Linked DNA regions of Saccharomyces cerevisiae S288C. Changing the gene in region 3 together with the main gene of any one other region gives a genetic interaction. Each region holds a gene or a part of one and is shown on either strand. Other genes may lie near its edges.

The links.
Region 1: mutations in CSF1 (region 3) and CWH41 together harm fitness more than expected from each alone (negative genetic interaction), as found in Saccharomyces cerevisiae (3 studies listed by BioGRID, with this or other methods).
Region 2: mutations in CSF1 (region 3) and ARC18 together harm fitness more than expected from each alone (negative genetic interaction), as found in Saccharomyces cerevisiae (3 studies listed by BioGRID).
Region 4: mutations in CSF1 (region 3) and PSD2 together harm fitness more than expected from each alone (negative genetic interaction), as found in Saccharomyces cerevisiae (4 studies listed by BioGRID, with this or other methods).

Annotation. Positions count from the first base shown.
Region 1 is NC_001139.9:442,385-448,604, reverse strand, and holds CWH41 (mannosyl-oligosaccharide glucosidase), read left to right. Parts: upstream 1-2,461; coding exon 2,462-4,963; downstream 4,964-6,220. Other genes in the region: tryptophan synthase TRP5, read left to right, coding at 70-2,193; SCW11 (putative glucan endo-1,3-beta-D-glucosidase), read left to right, coding at 5,696-6,220. UniProt on the Saccharomyces cerevisiae protein: Cleaves the distal alpha 1,2-linked glucose residue from the Glc(3)Man(9)GlcNAc(2) oligosaccharide precursor highly specifically. Seems to play a role in beta-1,6-glucan synthesis.
Region 2 is NC_001144.5:861,218-865,564, forward strand, and holds ARC18 (Arc18p), read right to left. Parts: upstream 1,038-4,347; coding exon 501-1,037; downstream 1-500. Other genes in the region: Hsp70 family ATPase SSQ1, read left to right, coding at 1-308; Rho family guanine nucleotide exchange factor ROM2, read left to right, coding at 1,497-4,347. UniProt on the Saccharomyces cerevisiae protein: Functions as a component of the Arp2/3 complex which is involved in regulation of actin polymerization and together with an activating nucleation-promoting factor (NPF) mediates the formation of branched actin networks.
Region 3 is NC_001144.5:311,772-318,177, forward strand, and holds the start of CSF1 (Csf1p), read right to left. Parts: upstream 3,961-6,406; coding exon 1-3,960. Other genes in the region: GPI-anchor transamidase subunit GAA1, read left to right, coding at 4,336-6,180. UniProt on the Saccharomyces cerevisiae protein: Tube-forming lipid transport protein which provides phosphatidylethanolamine for glycosylphosphatidylinositol (GPI) anchor synthesis in the endoplasmic reticulum. Required for the glucose and other nutrients uptake at low temperature.
Region 4 is NC_001139.9:833,739-841,058, forward strand, and holds PSD2 (phosphatidylserine decarboxylase 2), read left to right. Parts: upstream 1-3,403; coding exon 3,404-6,820; downstream 6,821-7,320. Other genes in the region: PEX35 (Pex35p), read right to left, coding at 1-744; pseudouridine synthase PUS6, read right to left, coding at 951-2,165; LSO2 (Lso2p), read right to left, coding at 2,649-2,927; methionine--tRNA ligase MSM1, read right to left, coding at 7,086-7,320. UniProt on the Saccharomyces cerevisiae protein: Catalyzes the formation of phosphatidylethanolamine (PtdEtn) from phosphatidylserine (PtdSer). Plays a central role in phospholipid metabolism and in the interorganelle trafficking of phosphatidylserine.

The DNA.
Region 1 (6,220 bases), on a different chromosome or scaffold from region 3:
GATTCTTACACTTTTTATGGACTGTAAACATCGATTGCTCCAAAAAGGGACATAGCACACCGACAGACCATGTCAGAACAACTCAGACAAACATTTGCTAACGCTAAAAAAGAAAACAGGAACGCCTTGGTCACATTTATGACCGCAGGTTACCCAACAGTCAAAGACACTGTCCCTATTCTCAAGGGTTTCCAGGATGGTGGTGTAGATATCATCGAATTGGGTATGCCCTTCTCTGATCCAATTGCAGATGGTCCTACAATTCAATTATCTAATACTGTGGCTTTGCAAAACGGTGTTACCTTGCCTCAAACTCTAGAAATGGTCTCCCAAGCTAGAAATGAAGGTGTTACCGTACCCATAATCCTAATGGGTTACTATAACCCTATTCTAAACTACGGTGAAGAAAGATTTATTCAGGACGCTGCCAAGGCTGGTGCTAATGGTTTTATCATCGTCGATTTGCCACCAGAGGAGGCGTTGAAGGTCAGAAACTACATCAATGATAATGGTTTGAGCCTGATCCCACTAGTGGCTCCTTCTACCACCGACGAAAGATTGGAATTACTATCGCATATTGCCGATTCGTTTGTCTACGTTGTGTCTAGAATGGGTACTACTGGTGTTCAAAGTTCTGTGGCCAGTGATTTGGATGAACTCATCTCTAGAGTCAGAAAGTACACCAAGGATACTCCTTTGGCCGTTGGGTTTGGTGTCTCTACCAGAGAACATTTCCAATCAGTTGGTAGTGTTGCTGACGGTGTAGTGATTGGTTCCAAAATCGTCACATTATGTGGAGATGCTCCAGAGGGCAAAAGGTACGACGTTGCTAAGGAATATGTACAGGGAATTCTAAATGGTGCTAAGCATAAGGTTCTGTCCAAGGACGAATTCTTTGCCTTTCAAAAAGAGTCCTTGAAGTCCGCAAACGTTAAGAAGGAAATACTGGACGAATTTGATGAAAATCACAAGCACCCAATTAGATTTGGGGACTTTGGTGGTCAGTATGTCCCAGAAGCTCTTCATGCATGTCTAAGAGAGTTGGAAAAGGGTTTTGATGAAGCTGTCGCCGATCCCACATTCTGGGAAGACTTCAAATCCTTGTATTCTTATATTGGCCGTCCTTCTTCACTACACAAAGCTGAGAGATTAACTGAGCATTGTCAAGGTGCTCAAATCTGGTTGAAGAGAGAAGATCTTAACCACACGGGATCTCACAAGATCAACAATGCTTTAGCACAAGTTCTTCTAGCTAAAAGATTAGGCAAGAAGAACGTTATTGCTGAAACCGGTGCTGGTCAACACGGTGTTGCCACTGCCACTGCATGTGCTAAATTTGGCTTAACCTGTACTGTGTTCATGGGTGCAGAAGATGTTCGTCGCCAAGCTTTAAACGTCTTCAGAATGAGAATTCTCGGTGCTAAAGTAATTGCTGTTACTAATGGTACAAAGACTCTAAGAGACGCTACTTCAGAGGCATTCAGATTTTGGGTTACTAACTTGAAAACTACTTACTACGTCGTCGGTTCTGCCATTGGTCCTCACCCATATCCAACTTTGGTTAGAACTTTCCAAAGTGTCATTGGTAAAGAAACCAAGGAACAGTTTGCTGCCATGAACAATGGTAAATTACCTGACGCAGTTGTTGCATGTGTTGGGGGTGGTTCCAACTCTACAGGTATGTTTTCACCATTCGAGCATGATACTTCCGTTAAGTTATTGGGTGTGGAAGCCGGTGGTGATGGTGTAGATACAAAGTTCCACTCTGCTACTCTAACTGCCGGTAGACCTGGTGTCTTCCATGGTGTCAAGACTTATGTCTTGCAAGATAGTGATGGTCAAGTCCATGATACTCATTCTGTTTCTGCTGGGTTAGACTACCCAGGTGTCGGTCCAGAATTGGCATATTGGAAATCTACTGGCCGTGCTCAATTCATTGCAGCTACTGACGCTCAGGCTCTGCTTGGCTTTAAATTATTATCTCAATTAGAAGGTATTATTCCCGCTTTGGAATCTTCTCATGCTGTTTATGGCGCTTGCGAATTGGCTAAGACGATGAAGCCTGATCAACATTTGGTTATCAATATTTCTGGTAGAGGTGATAAAGATGTCCAAAGTGTCGCTGAAGTCTTGCCGAAATTAGGTCCAAAGATAGGTTGGGATTTGAGATTCGAAGAAGACCCATCTGCCTAATGAGTAATATCTGATAAGGAACGCTTTTATTTAGCTTTTTAACTACATAGACGAATATAATATACGATCGGGATACATTAGCATATTCAGCTCTTTTACCTCTCAATTTGCTCAAGATTAGTATCGTGACCAATTTTAGATCATTTCGGTCAGAACAGCCACATTTTCGCGTAATTTAAAAGTTCAATTATTGTATGCGTGACACACTATATTAGCGTCAACTGTTAATAAGGAAGTAGTGGATAATAACGGTTCAGGTTGCTTCACAATGCTTATTTCAAAATCTAAGATGTTTAAAACATTTTGGATACTAACCAGCATAGTTCTCCTGGCATCTGCCACCGTTGATATTAGTAAACTACAAGAATTCGAAGAATATCAAAAGTTCACGAATGAATCTTTACTGTGGGCACCGTATAGATCCAATTGTTACTTTGGTATGAGGCCCAGATATGTCCATGAAAGTCCACTAATTATGGGTATCATGTGGTTCAACAGTTTGAGTCAGGATGGCTTACATTCGTTAAGACATTTTGCAACGCCTCAGGATAAATTGCAAAAGTATGGTTGGGAAGTGTATGATCCAAGAATTGGTGGTAAAGAAGTTTTTATTGATGAAAAAAATAACTTGAACTTGACTGTTTATTTTGTAAAGAGCAAGAACGGGGAAAATTGGTCAGTGAGAGTTCAAGGTGAGCCTTTGGATCCCAAGAGACCATCTACAGCATCTGTCGTATTGTACTTTAGTCAAAATGGTGGCGAGATAGATGGAAAATCTTCCTTAGCAATGATAGGTCATGACGGCCCTAATGACATGAAATTCTTCGGATATTCTAAAGAATTAGGCGAGTATCATCTTACAGTAAAGGACAATTTTGGTCACTACTTCAAAAATCCGGAATATGAAACCATGGAAGTAGCACCAGGAAGTGACTGCTCTAAAACAAGTCATTTATCACTTCAAATCCCGGATAAAGAAGTTTGGAAGGCTCGTGATGTTTTCCAATCTCTAGTTAGCGATTCGATACGTGATATACTGGAAAAGGAAGAGACAAAGCAGCGTCCTGCTGATTTAATACCAAGTGTTTTAACTATTAGAAATTTGTACAATTTTAATCCTGGTAATTTTCATTATATACAAAAGACATTTGATTTGACCAAAAAAGATGGGTTCCAATTTGATATCACTTACAATAAACTTGGCACTACTCAAAGTATTTCCACCAGGGAACAAGTTACGGAGTTGATTACTTGGTCACTAAATGAGATAAACGCGCGTTTTGATAAGCAGTTTAGTTTTGGAGAAGGTCCCGACTCAATTGAAAGCGTGGAGGTCAAAAGAAGATTTGCTTTAGAGACGCTATCAAACCTATTAGGAGGAATCGGTTATTTCTATGGGAATCAACTAATTGATCGTGAAACAGAATTTGATGAGAGCCAGTTTACAGAGATCAAACTGCTGAATGCAAAAGAGGAAGGTCCATTTGAACTGTTTACCAGCGTTCCGAGCCGTGGCTTTTTCCCACGTGGATTCTATTGGGATGAAGGTTTCCATCTTCTACAAATTATGGAGTATGATTTTGACCTTGCCTTTGAAATCTTAGCGAGCTGGTTTGAAATGATCGAAGATGATAGTGGTTGGATTGCTAGAGAAATTATACTGGGTAATGAGGCAAGGAGTAAAGTTCCGCAGGAATTTCAGGTGCAAAATCCCAATATTGCTAATCCGCCAACTTTATTGCTAGCATTTAGTGAAATGCTTTCTAGGGCCATTGAAAACATCGGCGATTTCAACAGTGACAGCTACCACCAAGTCATGTTCAATAGTAGGACAGCCAAGTTTATGACGAACAATCTAGAAGCCAATCCTGGCTTGCTAACCGAATATGCCAAGAAAATTTATCCTAAGCTATTGAAGCACTATAATTGGTTCAGAAAATCTCAAACAGGACTTATTGATGAATATGAGGAAATATTGGAAGATGAAGGAATATGGGATAAGATTCATAAGAACGAAGTTTATAGATGGGTTGGGCGTACCTTCACTCATTGTTTGCCAAGCGGTATGGATGACTATCCTAGAGCACAACCACCAGATGTAGCAGAATTGAACGTAGACGCATTAGCATGGGTGGGCGTTATGACAAGATCCATGAAGCAAATTGCTCACGTGTTGAAGTTAACACAGGACGAGCAAAGATATGCACAAATTGAGCAAGAGGTGGTCGAGAATCTGGATTTGTTACACTGGAGTGAAAATGACAATTGCTACTGTGATATTAGCATCGATCCAGAAGACGATGAGATTAGGGAGTTTGTATGTCATGAGGGTTACGTCTCCGTATTGCCCTTTGCATTGAAGCTAATCCCCAAAAACTCACCCAAGCTAGAGAAAGTAGTTGCTTTGATGAGTGACCCAGAAAAAATCTTTTCAGACTACGGGCTGTTATCACTATCGAGACAAGACGACTATTTCGGCAAGGATGAAAACTATTGGAGAGGCCCAATTTGGATGAATATTAATTACTTGTGTCTTGACGCAATGAGATACTACTACCCAGAGGTGATTCTCGACGTGGCTGGTGAGGCTAGCAATGCCAAGAAACTGTACCAAAGTTTAAAGATTAATCTCAGTAACAACATATACAAAGTTTGGGAAGAACAAGGTTATTGTTATGAAAATTACAGTCCGATAGATGGTCATGGTACTGGTGCTGAGCATTTCACAGGCTGGACAGCACTTGTTGTCAACATCCTTGGACGCTTCTGAATCTATGTAGATATTTTCAGTCATATAAACAGATATGTAACCAGATATGTACCAGTATGCAGGATGAAAATTATAAATGTTCCAGCTATTCGAAAAGGGCCTCGCATCTCTTAGTTAGAGCCAGCATTTTCAGCTTTTTTTTTCTCGCGTTTATTTACATTTCGATGCGGCTGTGAGAAAAAGTTAAAAAATCGTGGAAACCAGCAACTGGTAACTAGCAGTCTGGGCCATTGCAGCTAAAAGCCAGACAAATAAACAATCGAAAACACACTCGAAACATGCATTATGAAATGTCACATTTTTTTTTTTCTTTTGGGGATTAATGGTTGCGAAGTGAGGTCTTTTCTATTTACTGCGGTAAGATGAATAAAAGTTAGGGAATGTTATTGTTTACAAGCTGGATACTAGATCTCAAAATGTTAAAGTGTAAGGACTGACAACAAAATATGCTGCACCGAAAACAAATTAAGAATCTGAGGAGGGACTATTTAAGTGGAAAGAAAATTGAAGTTCAATGATCGTGTTTTCCTTCTGCTTATCCAAATACACTGTTATATATTAAGGCAACAGTACTATAATCGTCAGTTACGCAACAAAGACAGTCCACTCTTTTAGAAGAATAAGCCTTTACTGACATACCTCCACTGTAATAAATCTATTCTATTCTCTGTACTGTTTATCGACTTATTATTACGCTACACTCATTGATATAATATCTAATAGAAAACCATCATGATTTCACCCATAAGCTTTCTATCATCGCTGCTATGCTTAACTTATCTAACCTCAGCTTTACCGATTCTTCCTAAGAGAGAAGTTGTAACGAGAGTTCACACAGCAAGCACAACTAATGTTGTGACTGATTTTTACTCCACTACTACCGAAGTTGTTATTGCCCCAACTGTCGAATTCCTAATAAGCGATAGTGTTACCTTTACAACAACCTTAATTCCACAAGGTGTGAACCCAACAGCTGAACCAACTACGACTATCACTAAAGTTCTCTTAAAAAAGGCTGAAATGAGTACATCTTCGCAGCCAACCTCTACTTTGCAGCCAAGCACTATTCCACAATCAACCTCCTCTTTTCAAGCAGAATCTACTTTGCAAGCCGTCTCTACGCAACAAACTGCTATGTCTGTTTCTGCAGGTACTAGTGAGGATGTGCAACAATTAGCTACTACTTCTACCTCTATCTCCTCCTCTCCTTCCCCTACCACTACGTCTACTTCCACACAAAATATCGTGAGTGGTGTC
Region 2 (4,347 bases), 550 kb from region 3:
ATGCAAATAGGGCACAAGATAACTTGATCAGGCAAAGGTTAGAGCTTATCTCTAAGGCTGACATTATGATAAGTGATACTGAGAATTTATTTAAAAGATATGAAAAACTGATTTCTAGCGAAAAAGAGTATTCTAATATCGTAGAGGACATCAAAGCTCTGAGACAAGCTATAAAGAATTTTAAGGCTAACGAAAATGACATGTCAATTGATGTAAACGGAATAAAAAAAGCTACGGATGCGCTACAGGGTAGGGCATTAAAATTATTCCAAAGCGCAACAAAAAACCAGCAGAATCAAGGTAAATAAGTGAACAAAACACAAATAAGACTTGTATATTAACGTGTATATCGTTCATTAAAGCATATTTTGACGTATTTATACTTTATACATTTATATATTTCTTTCCCGTTTCAAATTTTCGGTTCAAATAAAGTTGCATGTGGATTATTATGTTCCCATAAATTCTAGTTTTTATTATTTTCCTTGCACCGTATACCTTTATAGAGATTTGTTCATGAATCTTCTTCTTGTGAACGCCAACCAAAACTTTGAGGGATATTCCTTAGAATCTGTAGAGCTATAGACTCTTTCTAATAGTCTCATTGCCAATTCTTGACGGAATTGCTGAATATAAGTCTTCAACAAGTCCATCGAATTATGATCTTGTACTGGAACTTGGTAAACATTATTCAGAGGGAAACCCGGTGTACCTGGTAAAGTAAAGTTGTCCAAGGCCACATTGGTTAACACTTTGACGGCTTCGTTAAATGACGTTGTTATTTTCAAATGGGCTAGGCAATCATTGATAAAGAGAATTCCGTAGATGAGCACTCTGTCGGCGGGTGATTTAATTTCAAAATTCTTGAAGAAGGAATTGGCACGAAATAGGTCCAAGCACTCGTCGATAATATCGTAATCGGAATTGCTGGGGTATGCAGGACCCCTGAACTTAGTGTTCAAGGGCAGAAGCGCAAAGTTCCCTACCATGCGGTCAGTGTTAGGATCTACAGGGAAAGTCGAGTGATACGCAGGCATTTATTAATATACTGGGAGTGGAGAGACTGATAATACCAATAATCTTCCTTTATTGATGTTTGTTACTGCGCACCAAGTGTTTAATTTATTGTTATTCATTGTTATACTAAACCAAACCGCAACGGAAAGGATAGGGGTTCGTGGTGGATGATCCGCGTAACGGCCGAGTCTGTGAAACTGAGAGAGAATGATAGTGAAAACAATGGTATGGAAGTCCGAGGTCCTAAGGCTTGAAGAAAGTTTTTAAAGGGCATTATGACCAGTGAGTACTGACGACCTAATTTAATAACAGTATTGAGCCGATTAGGTTTTCCTGGATTTTTTTTTTGCTGTTTTATAGCTATTTTTTTATTTGTTGTTTGTGGTCATTAATATATTCATTCGCTCTGTTAGTGTAATCGATTACAGTGCTCTATTACTGCTGACTTAATTGGACAATTCATCTCTTTTCCTGCGGTTATGAGCGAAACCAACGTTGACAGCTTAGGGGACAGAAATGACATATACTCCCAAATATTTGGTGTAGAAAGGAGGCCAGATTCCTTCGCTACTTTTGATAGTGACTCGCACGGAGACATAAGTTCTCAGCTGCTGCCTAATAGAATCGAAAATATCCAGAATCTAAATGTTCTGCTTTCTGAAGACATTGCTAATGACATCATTATTGCCAAGCAGAGGAGACGTTCTGGAGTTGAAGCCGCCATCGATGATTCTGATATACCAAATAACGAAATGAAGGGGAAAAGCTCAAATTACATTTTATCGCAGCAGACTAATATTAAGGAAGTTCCAGATACACAAAGTTTGTCTAGTGCTGATAATACACCTGTGAGCAGTCCAAAGAAGGCAAGAGATGCCACATCTTCCCATCCCATTGTTCATGCTAAATCGATGTCCCATATATATTCAACGAGTAATAGTGCTAGTAGACAAGCCAAGCACTATAATGACCACCCTTTGCCTCCAATGTCTCCAAGAAATGAAGTTTACCAGAAGAATAAAAGTACTACAGCTTTTGTGCCTAAGAGGAAACCTTCGCTCCCGCAACTAGCACTTGCTGGTCTTAAGAAGCAGAGCAGTTTTTCCACCGGCAGTGCATCAACCACTCCTACACAGGCTAGAAAATCGCCTTTGCAAGGGTTTGGTTTCTTTTCGAGACCAAGTTCCAAAGACTTGCACGAACAGCACCAACATCACCAGCATATTCAGCATAATAATATTAACAATCATAATAATAATAATACTAATAATAATGGCGCACATTATCAAGTGGGTAGTAGTAACAGTAATTACCCTCAACATTCACATTCTATATCATCTAGATCGATGTCGTTGAACTCATCTACTCTAAAAAATATTGCATCATCTTTTCAATCGAAGACTTCTAACAGCAGGAAAGCTACGCAAAAATATGATATAACTTCCAACCCATTCTCAGATCCTCATCATCATCATCATCATCATCACTCTTCAAACAGTCACAGTAGCCTAAATAATGTCCACGGGTCTGGAAACTCCTCAAGTGTTATGGGAAGCTCGTCTAATATTGGGTTGGGTCTTAAAACGAGAGTTTCTTCCACCTCATTAGCTTTAAAAAGATACACTTCGGTTTCAGGAACTTCTCTATCTTCTCCACGTAGAAGTAGTATGACACCTTTGTCGGCATCTAGACCTGTTATGAGCGCTTCATCAAAAAAACCTCAGGTATATCCAGCTTTGTTGTCAAGAGTCGCCACAAAATTTAAAAGTTCGATACAACTCGGGGAACATAAGAAGGATGGATTAGTTTACCGTGACGCATTTACAGGGCAGCAGGCAGTCGATGTCATCTGTGCTATCATTAGAACTTCTGATAGAAACTTAGCCTTGTTATTTGGTAGATCACTAGATGCACAAAAGCTGTTCCATGATGTGGTATACGAGCACAGGTTAAGAGATTCACCACATGAAGTTTACGAATTTACAGATAACTCAAGATTTACAGGAACAGGTTCCACAAACGCCCATGATCCACTGATGCTACTCCCAAACTCATCATCTTTTAATTCCGGGAACCACTCTTATCCGAATTCCGGAATGGTTCCATCAAGTTCAACTTCATCTTTGAATAGTGATCAGGCAACTTTGACAGGGTCGAGGCTACATATGAGTAGTTCATTGTCCCAGCAAAAGAACCCTGCAGCCATTCATAACGTCAATGGTGTGTTTACATTACTGGCGGAATGCTATTCCCCTACGTGCACAAGAGACGCTTTGTGTTACTCTATTTCGTGTCCAAGACGTCTTGAGCAACAAGCAAGGTTAAATCTGAAACCAAATGGCGGCCTGAAACGTAATATATCAATGGCATTGGATGATGATGACGAAGAAAAGCCATCTTGGACAAGTTCCGTATCTAAAGAGGATTGGGAAAACTTACCAAAAAAGGAAATAAAAAGACAAGAGGCTATTTATGAAGTTTATATCACGGAGAAGAACTTTGTAAAATCATTAGAAATTACAAGAGACACATTCATGAAGACTTTGGCTGAAACAAATATTATTTCAGCAGATATTAGAAAAAATTTCATCAAGCATGTTTTTGCACATATAAACGATATCTATTCAGTGAATAGACGTTTTTTGAAGGCTTTAACTGATAGGCAAAGAAGTTCACCAGTTGTGAGAGGAATTGGGGACATTGTTTTAAGATTCATTCCATTTTTTGAACCATTTGTTTCATATGTCGCTTCAAGACCATATGCGAAGTACTTGATTGAAACCCAAAGATCAGTCAATCCCTATTTTGCTAGATTTGATGACGATATGATGAGCTCCTCCTTACGTCATGGTATTGATTCGTTTTTATCTCAAGGTGTTTCAAGACCAGGTCGATATATGCTATTGGTCAAAGAAATCATGAAATCTACTGACCCCGAGAAGGACAAAAGTGATTATGAAGATTTAAGCAAAGCCATGGATGCATTAAGGGATTTTATGAAAAGGATTGATCAAGCAAGTGGTGCTGCACAAGATAGACATGATGTAAAATTGTTGAAACAAAAGATTCTTTTCAAAAACGAATACGTTAATTTAGGATTAAATGACGAAAGGAGAAAAATTAAACATGAAGGTATACTATCACGGAAGGAGTTGTCAAAATCGGACGGAACAGTTGTTGGTGACATACAATTTTATCTTCTAGATAATATGCTCTTATTTTTAAAGGCCAAAGCAGTTAATAAATGGCACCAGCATAAGGTATTCCAAAGGCCCATTCCATTGCCATTGTTATTTGCATGTCCAGGTGAAGATATGCCTGCGTTGAGGA
Region 3 (6,406 bases):
TAAAGCTGCTACTTCTAATAATTTATTTGTTCGGTTCTTCTCTAGAGACTTTTCACTCATTTGATAATCAATACGATCTAAATAGAGCTCAAAACCTTCCTCACCTGTCTCTTGCCAGATTAAATTTAGATAAGCAATATGGATATCAATGTTTGAAATAGAAGTGATCCCTTCTTGAAGGTTGCTTAATCGTTTCACAATCCCAATTTCAATATCGTCTAAGACTTGTACCATGTTTTCAGAGTAAAGCTGTTCTAATAAACTCTTAGCGAAAATAAAAAGCAACGGGTCGACATCCAACAGAATATATGAAACATCAACAACATAGTTATCCCTTTCGTGGTTTCTGTCTTCTGTAAAAGCGACAGGTTTGAAGCTTGAAGGGTCCGCTTCTTCGTCATTATCATCTTCACTGAAGCTGGCTCTTGAAGGCTCCATAGTTGATGGAGTTTCTGCGAATATGTTCTTGAATGGATTTGTGGTCTCCAGAAGGGTAGCATACTCGCCCACAATATCTTCAATGATATAATCTATAGTATCAGGCAAAGTGGGAAGAGGTAAAGTTGGGATAGACGAAGATGGTGCTATAGCCCCGTACAGGTTTTGGTATGTATCCGAATCCTGATAGAACAGCGGAAGAAGAAAAGGACACCTATGATAGGGTGAATCGTGTATTGTTATATATCTGCGTTGTTCTGATCTTTTTTTATCGATATCCTTGTATTGCTCAAAGTTTGTAAATCTTAATTTTGTTTCGAATTTGAGAAATGATGTGTCTACGCCATCGCCCATCACGCAATTTAACGAAATTGTCAATTTTGGAATTTTCACGTCTATTCTTTGTGAATATTTTTCGTTTTCAAAGTCGATCAAAGTAAACAATATCGATTCAGCACTAATAACTGATTGAGATTTCATCACCGGATCTTTAAGGCCTATTCTTATTTTTTCAACGTGCACGGTTAGCGAGGTCATATCATTAATGGTCTCAGTGTCATATAATAATATATTTTCCAAGTCATTGTAGCCAAAACCTATCTTATAAAAGGAATTAAAGAATCCCTTTATAAATTCAATATCTGAATCAATGCATAAATCTCCGAGATTGATATCCCATTGACAAAAGTAGGTAGGTTCTGTGGGTGGTAATCCATACATTCTATGTCCATGAATGGTGAGGTCCGAAAGCAATCCGTGCTCTTGCTCATCAGCTCCGTTATTACGACGTATAAAATCAAATACTTCATTTATTTGTTTTGAAACGTGCCGCTTTATTGAAGTCCCGTTGAGAACCGCCATTATGTCCATATAATAATTACAACTTCTGAAATCCACTACAAGTTCGGCAAAATGTAGTGCAATGCATGGATCAAAACTGTAAATCGTTTCTGGTAATATCAGAGCACCATCCCAAACCGAAAATGTGAACCAAATATCAGTTTCGTTGGTAGTCCTTTTCAAATCTGACCTTTTCATAGGACCTTTATCCTCAGATTCGTTCTTTAGACTGCTATTTTGGTACCCTGAATCTACAGTAGATGCCAAATCTGCCACCGAGCTTTTCGTAGTGACATCTCCGACTTCCCTAGCGCCAAGGACACCTGTGTACTCTTCTGACGTCACAAAATTAAAAAATTCACCGAAGTAATTCATCTTTACGTTTGTTAAATACCTCATGACAAACCCATAGCAGTGAAGTACTGTACTCTTGCTGTTACACTCTATGACTAGCGTATCGACATTATCAATATCTAACTCGGAATAGAGAAGGTAAGAACCTTTAATTGTAAAGTCGTATGCTCTCCCCACTTCTTTATGTTTCATGAATTCGTTCAATGTATTCCAAGGGGGGGTATTTAACATCATTCTGAACATTGGAGTTGAGATCTCGTAGGACATATCTGTGTATGTCCCCAAAATACTCTCACGGGGTACCGTGACATCAATTGAAAGCTTATCACCATGAAGGGATAAATAACAGTTTTCGTTAAAATCTAACGGATTGTTAACAATATTGTGATCATTGACGTTTAAGTAAATGGAATATCCTTCCATTTCCCAATTGACTTTGTATACGAATGGTCTAAAAAGTTCGTAAGGCGTAGGATCACCAGCGGAAAAGTCTGAAAGCGTATCTGCAACTAAAGTTATATGCTCACGTAGCAGAAACGCCTCTAATTGTTCTGACTTCATGTTAATTATCCATATAGCTTTGCTATTCCAACCCAATGGATATCCAATATCCCCATCAATATCGAATACCTTGCTTTTTAACAAAATATCGTGATTAACACTTGACCTAATTTCGGTTTCCAGGAAATGAACATGGAAATTATTCTGAAAACCTTGCACTGTAGGACAAACACTTATATTGAAATTTGCATAGGTGTCCTTACAAAATCGGAGATCCATCCATCCAAATGGCCTATATTCTTCATTAGTTTCTTTGTAGTGTTTCAAAAATTCGGGGTCTTTGCTACTTTCCCTCGTCGGTATACGCCAAGTAGTATCTTCCATTATTGATATATTCATCCTGAAAAGTGTATATATTCTTCTAGAACCTGGCGGGAGTTTTTTTATAGGTTTGGCTGTCCTTGAAACTACCGGTGATAGAACTCTTTGTAGATGACTGACTTGTCTTTGAGCCCAAGGTCCGTAACAGATGGATCCTCCGTGAATTTGAACATCTAAAGCAAAATCTGGAGGTGCTCCGTTATTGCCCACATCTGGTCCATCAATATCAGGTATTGTCGGATGTGCACCATGTGGCACAACGCCCGGAACATCCACGTCATATGCAATTGTGACCTTTGGGCATTTTAAAATTGATGTAAATTTAGCATATTCATGGTTCGTCAAATCGAACTCAACATCATCTAAATCACTTGCTTTAGCGTCGCCCGCAGAAGCCTTATAAAGAGATAAACCTTTCCATTTATGATAGAAATTGTCATCTGATGTGCCTGCGCTTTTTTTAGTCTTTTTCGGTACAACAGGCTTGGTTACTATCTGAAAGACTCGTACAAACGTTTTCCATAACTTTGACACTTTCCCTCTATCTATTTTAAACTTCAATCCAATAGCATCATCGTAACCAATATTTTGTTTGATAGAAATTTCGAAGTTTTTGAATTCCATCTGTGTTTTATTTCTGTATAAATCTAATCGCTCTTTTGGAGGTAAAACATCTATTATGCCTTTTCCACTTTCATAACTTAGAATCATAACAGATGGCGTGAATTTGTTTCCTAACAGTAGGGAACCGCGGCTAAATTTAAGCTCAATTGGTAAAAACATCAGTAGCTTTGGATGTTTGCCGATATCTGTTTCTTGGTAGTCCCTGTCATTAACAATTGATGCATCAGAGTTCGTTGTGTATGCAGATTCGCTTAGATCTTCATCTAATTTATCAGCACTACTTCCATCGCTAAAAGGTTCAGGAAAAGAATGCTCATTAAGGTATTTTTCAAATTTATCGCGTTCATCTTTTGATAGTAAGTTTATAACATTATCGTACGCCACTGTTCTGTTGTAAATAAAAATTTCTAGACCTTCACATTCTACGGAAATTTTACAGGGAAGCTTTGCTTTTTTGCCAGAAGAAGACTTGTTATTCTCTATCAATTCTGCTTTTCTGCAATTTAAAAGCCAGTATTTCCATGTTAAACTACCCTCTAATACCGAAATTGTATAATCTTTGTGTATTACGGAAAGGTTTTTAAAATGTATTCGACCACCTAGTAAGGAGACACGAAGTGTCTCAACATTTATCTTGATTTTCGCTCGTTTCCATAGTAGCCATTCTAATATAAAACTTACAAGGTATGCATAGATTCTTCCCATGTAGAATATCATTGTCAAACATACTACTACCGTGAGAATCCAATCTACTAAAAAGACCCAGCTAAAGTCCTTTTGGTGTGTCAATGGAACACCACGTAATTGTGAAATAGCTTCCATGCTTGCTAACTTATTACCGTCAATAGAAGACTTGAGTCAGGTGGCTTTAATGAGTACTATTCTTTTTTTTTTTCCAAAGAGCACTATGTTGATAATACCGCAGTAATTTTTTTTGAGTATCCTGTAGCCTAGAAAGGTTGAAGCTTATAAAACCGTGCCAACAGCTTTATAGTGGGGAGTTTGGCTTCCCTCTATTTGTATATTGATCGCCATCCCTACGAAGTTATTGGGAACGCATCGTGAACCTCTCACTTTAATGCCAGCGGTAGAAAAAAAAGTCATAAACAATACACGCCGGCTACACTTAGAAAGAAATGACATTTGCTGTCTTATAAAAGGACTTGACAGACCAAAGACGCGTATAATACACCAAGAATGGCCTTATTGGAGAAGTTGCATCGAAGGATTGTTGATATGGGGCTTGTCCCGCGTATAATCGCCTTATTACCAGTTATTTCCATGCTATGCGCTCTATTTGGGTTTATTTCTATAGCTATTCTGCCTATGGATGGACAGTACAGAAGAACATACATTTCTGAGAATGCATTGATGCCTTCACAAGCGTATAGTTACTTTAGAGAATCTGAATGGAACATTTTGAGGGGCTATCGATCTCAAATTAAAGAAATGGTAAACATGACTTCTATGGAAAGAAACAATTTGATGGGTTCTTGGTTACAAGAATTTGGTACTAAGACTGCTATTTACGAAAATGAACAATATGGAGAAACATTGTACGGTGTAATGCACGCTCCTAGGGGTGATGGAACAGAAGCGATGGTGCTTGCCGTTCCATGGTTTAATTCAGATGATGAATTCAATATTGGCGGCGCAGCTTTGGGTGTATCTTTAGCAAGATTTTTCTCACGTTGGCCAGTATGGTCCAAGAATATAATTGTTGTCTTCAGCGAAAATCCTCGTGCAGCATTAAGATCATGGGTTGAGGCATACCATACTTCCTTAGATTTGACTGGTGGTTCCATTGAAGCTGCTGTTGTGTTGGATTATTCGAGTACGGAAGATTTCTTCGAGTATGTAGAAATCTCATACGACGGTCTGAATGGTGAGCTGCCCAATTTGGATCTTGTCAACATCGCTATATCCATTACGGAACATGAAGGTATGAAAGTTTCTTTGCACGGTCTACCCAGTGATCAGTTAACTAATAATAATTTCTGGTCAAGATTAAAAATATTATGCCTGGGAATAAGGGATTGGGCGTTGTCCGGTGTTAAAAAGCCCCATGGTAACGAGGCATTTAGCGGCTGGAGGATTCAATCTGTAACATTGAAAGCACATGGAAACAGTGGTCATGATATTACTACATTTGGACGTATACCCGAAGCAATGTTTCGCTCTATTAATAACCTTTTGGAAAAATTTCACCAATCGTTCTTCTTTTATTTGTTATTAGCACCACGTCAGTTCGTATCCATTAGTAGTTATTTGCCAAGCGCTGTGGCTTTATCTATAGCATTCGCCATAAGTTCATTAAATGCATTTATAAACAATGCTTATGCAAATATATCCTTATTTTCCGAGTATAATTTGGTAGCGTTGTTGGTTTGGTTCGTGTCATTGGTGATATCATTTGTTGTTTCACAAGCGTTTCTTCTAATACCTTCATCGGGATTATTGATGACAATTAGCATGGCATCTTGTTTTTTACCTTTGATACTTTCCAGAAAAATTCACATCTCAGAACCACTATCATACAGGTTGAAAAATGTTGCTTTTTTATATTTCAGTTTGGTTTCAACATCTTTGCTAATGATAAACTTTGCAATGGCTTTACTGATCGGCACATTGGCATTTCCTATGACATTTGTGAAGACCATTGTTGAAAGTTCTAGCGAACATGAGGTGACAACTCAATCCTCTAACCCAATAAAAACTGAGCCGAAAGATGAGATAGAGCTCGTCGAGAATCACATGGATACAACGCCAGCAACCCCCCAACAACAGAAACAAAAACTAAAAAATTTAGTACTATTAATTTTGACAAATCCATTTATTTCAATAACCTTATTCGGACTATTTTTTGATGATGAATTTCATGGATTTGATATAATAAACAAACTGGTTTCAGCATGGTTGGATTTGAAATGTTGGAGTTGGTTTGTACTTTGTATAGGTTGGCTTCCATGTTGGCTATTGATATTAGCGTCATCGTTTGAATCTAAATCTGTCGTAGTAAGGTCGAAAGAAAAGCAAAGTTAGGTGCCATTGGTAAGAAGTAAAGGATTAACGGGTGTTCGAACTACGCAATTGATTTTATACGCACAAACATTACAAATCGAAGCAAAAGAAGATGAAATGATATGATATACTGATACAAATATGTATTAAATAAAACATAAGTATTGATGGAAACATGGCATAGAGAAGCGAAGATGCGATAATATCAAATAACTATATGTGAGTTGTGGAAGAAAGAAACGATCAC
Region 4 (7,320 bases), on a different chromosome or scaffold from region 3:
TATGGGCCAATCATTATGGTTCTTGACCCCAAGGTATTGAGAAAAGTTCCTGACTTCGTGGCCGCCGACATTCTTATTTGATTTCGTCCCTGAAGTAAAAAAGAATTTTAATGTTCTGTGATATACTGCCAAAACTGTGAAAATGGCATTGATTGTGAAGAAATCTATTAAAAATGGCCTATGGTCAAAAAGCACACGGAATGGTAACGAACTCCTGTCCAGTTTGGCAAATAATACAATAATCGCTAAACACACAAGAATTTGCTGGAATTTTATTAATGTACCCTGGGAAAAATTTTTTTTTTTCAACCATTGTGTTAATTTTGCGATCTTTAATTTGGAGGCTATAGCTTCCACAAGAAAGTGTGCGATAATCCACGAAGGTACCTCACCCTTGGTAAGCATTAACGATATTCCTACAATGGAAGACCAGTGAATATAATGATTTTTTAAAAATGGGAACTTCATCAAAGTTGGATATAGTATGTTCAGCAAGACTAATATAGTAGACTCTCTTAGCCATGGCATGATATCATTTATTTGAATATTTTCACCCTGTAATTTTTTCAATTTCCATTTTTTGACATAAAATACTAGGTTTATTCCATAGACTTGGGTTATTCTTTTCAAGATGATGACGAGTTGTTTTCTTCTCTTCTTGTTCAAGAGGAGTAGAAGCCTTCTTATTATCTGCTTGAAGCCAGAAACTGCTTTCCCAGTACCATTTGGACGATTGTGTTTCATATAGTTAGCAAGTGTATACTCTCATTAGCTCTGTTCGCGATGTGTATTTCGTGGTGCTTTATATAGGGTTTTTAACTTTTCCCCATGAACATTCGCTGTTATGTATTCGCAACTAAAAATAATGTCTCTCTTTAATTTTAATTTACATCCAAAGTACGGAAATGGTAACTAAACTATATACAAAAAAAGTTCGCTCAAAAAAAAGTTTAACTATTGTCCAATTGTGCCCATTTTGGTAAATCTGTTTTGAACTTGAATTTGCCATTAATCTCCTCATACTTCCAAGCATGCAACCATAATTCTAGGTCTGATAGCACAGGATCCTTTAAATCAACAGTATGACATTCAGGACAAAATGTTTCCATTGTCCGACAATTATTTTTTGTCTCATCGACAAATTTTTGAAACCTCACTTTCAATTCCTCAGCATCTAAATCCTGCTGATTCTCCCATCTAGGAAACTGAGTTATAAACTTAAGCCTTTCGGGGTATTTTGTAATATGCGAACAATAAACACTATCGTTGACGATGGGATGACCGAGCCTAGCTAAATGGATTCGAATTTGGTGTGTTCTTCCAGTTATTGGCTTACAAGCGACGACAGTTTCATCAGCATGAGAGAAGTATCTTATTGGGTAGAACTTGGTAATAGCATCCTTCGATGTCGATAAACCAACTGGAAACTGTCTCTTTGGATCGATAGAATATATGGGTGTCATTTCCACTGTAACTTTGGAAGTGTCCTCAAAAGTCGTTTCCGCCGCATTTTCATTGTCCAATATCAATTCGGAGTGAGGAAATCTTCCCTTGACCCTTGCCAAGTAGATCTTAATCATATCTCTTGAACGAATACTCTTCTGGATTTCCCCCGCACTCTGACTGTTCTTGGCCAATATCAACAAGCCTGATGTGATCTTGTCTAACCGATAACAAGGAAGAGCATCTACACCATGTAACTTCAGTAATTCAGTAATTGTGTTCTGGTAAAACTGACCGGTTGGATGCACTGGTATACCACTGGGTTTATCAATGACGAGGATACTCTCATCTTCAAAAACAATATTGAATCCCGCTATTCTGCCAGGTAAATCCTCCGCTTCAACTTCCTGGCTACACCATTGTTTTACCGGCGGTTCGTGCTTATGCGTAGTTGTTTCTAAAACATCATGATTCTTGATTATGGTAGTCATGAGATGATCTGGTACCAGCGGCACACCATCTCGGATCAACCTATATGTGCCTTTCCTTATTTGGTCCAAATAATAAGCTCTTGGGCGAAGTTTAAATTCACTAACGAGAACGTCTATTAGTAACTTACCCAACCAGCGCCCCTTCACGAACGCTGATCTTCTGTTATAATAGGGCCGTACCTTTCTCAGTCCATTCTGTGTATATACCTCAATAACTTTGATAGTTGACATACTTGACAATCATCCTTTTGCCCACTGATTGTCTCGAGCAATCGTCAATAAAGTTTTCACAAGAAACATTTATTTGCCTTTTAATGAAAGAAAAAAAGTAAATTTTTCATTAACTTTTATCATTGTTATCAATCTTCTTGTATGACAGCAAGCTATATATACATACATATGCAAATCTAATGTACATAATTTCAACTATTCATACCATTAGTACCATAAAGTCATTCTTTTTACTGTAAACTACACTTGCATTATCCTTCCTCGTCCCTCTTTATTCTTATAACGTTGAACAGTGATTTCTTACCATGTGTATTTTTGTACTCAACCCGCAAAAGATAAGCATCCTCATACAGAAGTATTATTATTACCACTGTTACTTTTATTGTCGTTATTTGTCTTGCGTTTTTATGTTTATGGAGATAAAGTGGGAATGACTTTATCATATGCAATTATTAGCCGCTATAAGGCTAAGATTCTTCAAATTTATTTCATTTTTCTTTTACCCTTGCCACCCTTGCCCAGTTGCTCCTCCTCTGCGGTTAGCAACGCATCGCGCTCCTTTTTAGCTCTTGCTTTTTCTTGTCTTTTTTGCTCTTCCTCTAATTTTTTGGCATTCTCTTTCCTCGAACCTTGTTCCCATTTAGAAGCTTCCTCCGCTTCTAGCTGCTCCATTTGTGCTCTTTGTTTAGCATGTGCCTGATCTCTTTTTCTTGCTAAGCCAGCTGCTTTCTTTGCGGCGGATTCTGAAAATCTTTTACCCATCTTTTTACTTCCTCTTTGCTATTCTATTATTTCCTGTATAGGCAGGTTTTGTGCTCAATTGATAAATTCTTTTACCTATTAAATATAAACTTGAGTTTCAACTTATTCAGCTTTATTTTAAACATTATACAAGTTTTTCATTTTGAGGGGTCTTTAACTGGAAAAAAAAAGCTTTCACGACTCAAAGAAAAAAAAAAAAATTTTTTTAGGGTAAAAAAAAACTAAGGGCTAATATGAAAAATACAAAGGTTATGTTACTTTAAAATGAGGTTTGGAAGAAGGAGAAAGACAAAAAAGCAGGGCACATGTCAAACTCTTGGAAACTTGAGATCCTAGCCCTAACGCATGTGCTACTTCAAGGAATTCTTCTTATATATGACAACTATTCCAATTTGATGCTAAAACTAGCCCAAAGTGGTTGATGCTGTATCAATTGGTAAAGAATCCTCGATTTTCAGGAGCATCCAACGACGAAGATGAGGATTATTAAGGGCAGAAAGCGAGGCAAGAACAAGAAGCCAACGCTAATTTTAAAAATTCATGTCATTCAAGCTGAAAATATTGAAGCCTTGAAGACATTCAATTGTAACCCGGTATGTTTTGTTACCACTAATACATTTTATAGTCAAAAGACGAACAAGCTCAAGAACTCAAATACACACTGGAATCAAACCTTGAGGATCAAACTTCCGAGAAATCCAACATCTGAATGGTTAAGGATTATAGTATACGACGCCCTACCAACCGGAGCTCCCCCTACTACCCCCAGTAGACCAAGGACAACCACTGCAAATACATCTTCATCGACACTGTCAAATTCAGGGCTAAGTTCTCACTCTCATTCGTCGAGAAATTTGAATGTTACGTCCAAAGGTAATCAAACTTCAACATCAATTAATTCAGTATCATCTTCAGCTACACCGGCCCCTTCACATTCTTCCTCTTCTCTCTCAACAACAGGTCCCGGGTCCACACACAAAAATAGGATTAATAGCTATCTATATTTGGGTGAAGCAAAAATTTCATTACTGGATTTATTCAAGAGGAAGGACACCACGACGAGCTATAAATTTTCAATTGAAGCTCAGCGGTACCATCTATACGATATGAAAGGAGGGAAAGACCAAGATTCCTTGAACTGCAACTTTCTAGTGGGCGATATTTTGCTTGGATTTAAGCTAGAATGTAACGTTAAAAGAACCCCGACTTTTCAGGCTTTCAATGCTTGGAGAAATGAGTTGAACACTTACTTGGGCAGAATAGATAGAAATAAGGCCCGCATGAGATCTTCTAGTTCTTTGCCACCTCCACTAGAAGATATGTTGAGCAATAGTTCAGCTGTTAGTGGAAATGAAATACGACGCGAGAAACCATATAGCGATACTGATCTAGCCCACGATGAAGAGGTCAATGCCGAGGATGAAATAGATGCTGAGGAATCTATTGAAGATATGAATAGCAGCGGCAGCATTTGTACGGAGAGGAGGTACGATATAGACAATGATACTATATTCGACTCTATATCTGAGGTTGTTTCGCTAAATGATGAAGAACTAGATATTCTAAATGATTTTGAAGAAGCAGATCATCCAAATGTGCCAGACATAAATGTGCATGACATCGACGAAGATACCCGTATCAGTCTATCTTCAATGATAACAGCTTTAGATGAATATGATATCGTAGAACCAGAAGATGTTGCAAAATTACCTGCAGTGTCGGAAAATGACATAACATCAGTGGATGACGAAGAATCTGAAAACCAACAGGAAAGTGATGAGGAGTTTGATATATATAATGAGGATGAGCGTGAAGATTCTGATTTTCAATCAAAAGAATACATTGGGAGTCGGCTTTTACACCTGCAAAGGGGTAAACATAATAAATCATATGCAAATTACTTATACAGAAGAGCAAAAAGTAACTTTTTTATATCGAAAAAGGAACATGCGATGGGGGTAGTATTTATGCATATTGGGGCTATCAAAAATTTACCTGCATTAAGGAATCGGTTGTCCAAGACTAATTATGAAATGGATCCATTTATCGTTATTTCGTTTGGTAGAAGAGTATTCAAGACATCTTGGAGAAAACATACTTTAAACCCAGAATTTAATGAATATGCCGCTTTCGAAGTTTTTCCCCATGAAACGAATTTTGCTTTCAGTATCAAAGTTGTTGATAAAGACTCATTTTCATTCAATGATGACGTTGCAAAATGCGAACTGGCTTGGTTTGATATGCTGCAACAGCAACAACATGAAAACGAATGGATACCTTATGAGATACCATTGGATCTCACTGTTGAGCCAGCACATGCTCCTAAGCAACCGGTATTATATTCGAGCTTCAAATATGTTTCATATCCGTTCTTAAAAAAGAGCTTTTGGAAAGAAGCTGTTGACACATCAGTCAACTTAGAGAGACTCGACATTATTCAAGTAATGCTCTATCTTGAACGTCTTGGTTCATTCACGATGGCCGATTCTTTTGAACTCTTTCAGCATTTCAATAAATCTGCTTGGGCCGGCCAGAGCATTACTAGATCACAATTAGTTGAAGGGCTACAGTCATGGAGAAAATCCACTAATTTTAAACGCATCTGGACATGTCCTAGATGCATGCGTTCATGCAAACCAACTAGAAATGCTAGACGTTCTAAACTGGTTCTAGAAAATGACTTGATAACCCATTTTGCCATATGTACGTTTTCAAAAGAACACAAAACTTTAAAGCCGTCGTACGTCTCATCTGCATTTGCATCCAAGAGATGGTTCTCTAAGGTTTTGATAAAATTAACTTATGGTAAATATGCTTTGGGATCTAACAATGCAAACATCTTGGTTCAAGACCGAGACACAGGGATAATTATTGAGGAAAAAATAAGCGCACACGTAAAGTTGGGAATGAGGATTATATACAATGGTAAAAGTCCCGAGTCTAAAAAATTTAGATCCCTCTTGAAGACTTTATCAATCAGGCAAGGCAAAAAATTTGACAGCACTGCATCTGCCAAACAAATTGAACCTTTCATAAAGTTTCACTCGCTAGACCTTTCACAATGCCGAGATAAAGATTTTAAAACATTCAATGAATTTTTTTACAGGAAACTAAAACCAGGAAGCCGGCTGCCTGAAAGTAATAATAAAGAAATATTGTTTTCACCAGCAGATTCAAGATGCACAGTGTTCCCAACTATACAAGAATCGAAGGAAATATGGGTGAAAGGAAGAAAATTTTCTATTAAGAAACTAGCCAATAACTATAATCCGGAAACATTTAATGACAATAACTGCAGTATTGGTATATTTAGACTGGCGCCACAAGATTATCACCGGTTTCACTCACCATGTAATGGTACGATTGGAAAACCTGTATATGTGGATGGAGAGTATTATACTGTAAATCCAATGGCCGTTCGTAGTGAGTTAGACGTCTTTGGTGAAAATATCAGAGTTATTATCCCCATCGATTCTCCTCAATTTGGCAAACTACTGTACATACCTATTGGTGCAATGATGGTTGGATCCATACTATTGACCTGCAAAGAAAACGATGTAGTTGAGAGTGGACAGGAGCTGGGCTATTTTAAATTTGGAGGTTCTACTATAATAATCATTATCCCGCACAACAACTTCATGTTTGATTCCGACCTTGTGAAAAACTCTTCAGAACGCATTGAAACGTTAGTCAAAGTCGGGATGAGTATAGGACACACATCAAATGTGAATGAATTGAAGAGAATCCGTATTAAAGTAGACGACCCAAAGAAAATTGAACGGATCAAGAGAACAATTAGTGTTAGCGATGAAAATGCCAAGAGTACAGGAAATGTAACATGGGAATATCATACTTTACGGGAAATGATGAATAAAGATTTTGCTGGGCTATGAAGCCGCCGAAAAATTGGCTGTAGTTAGTGGTTACCAAAATGGAAAAAAAAAAAAAACATGAACAATCTCCCTCAGACTTTATTATAGACTATAGCGTGTACAAACAAGTCATCGTTGATAATGAAAGCAATGGTTTCATACCAGGAAATTTCCTATGAAAAATATGCATTTTTATTAGTAACAAAAGAAACTATATTCCTAGTCCTCTTGCAGAAAATACGATATAATACTTAAGTTAATATTTACAGTGCAGTAAGTACCTTTTTCATGACCTCATATTCGTTTGTTCCTCTTGCAACCTGAATGGAATTTTTTTCAAAGGTACTTCTCGGCCTTTCTTGTTAGATTGCTTTCCATATGTTTTATCGGAACCCAATCTAGCATAATTTATAGTCCTTTTCTCCTTTGAAACATCAATACGATCTAGGAAACTTTGTGAGAGAGATGGTATAATGGATTGGCATAAAATGGAGAGGATTCTAGACGTTTCCATAGCCAAA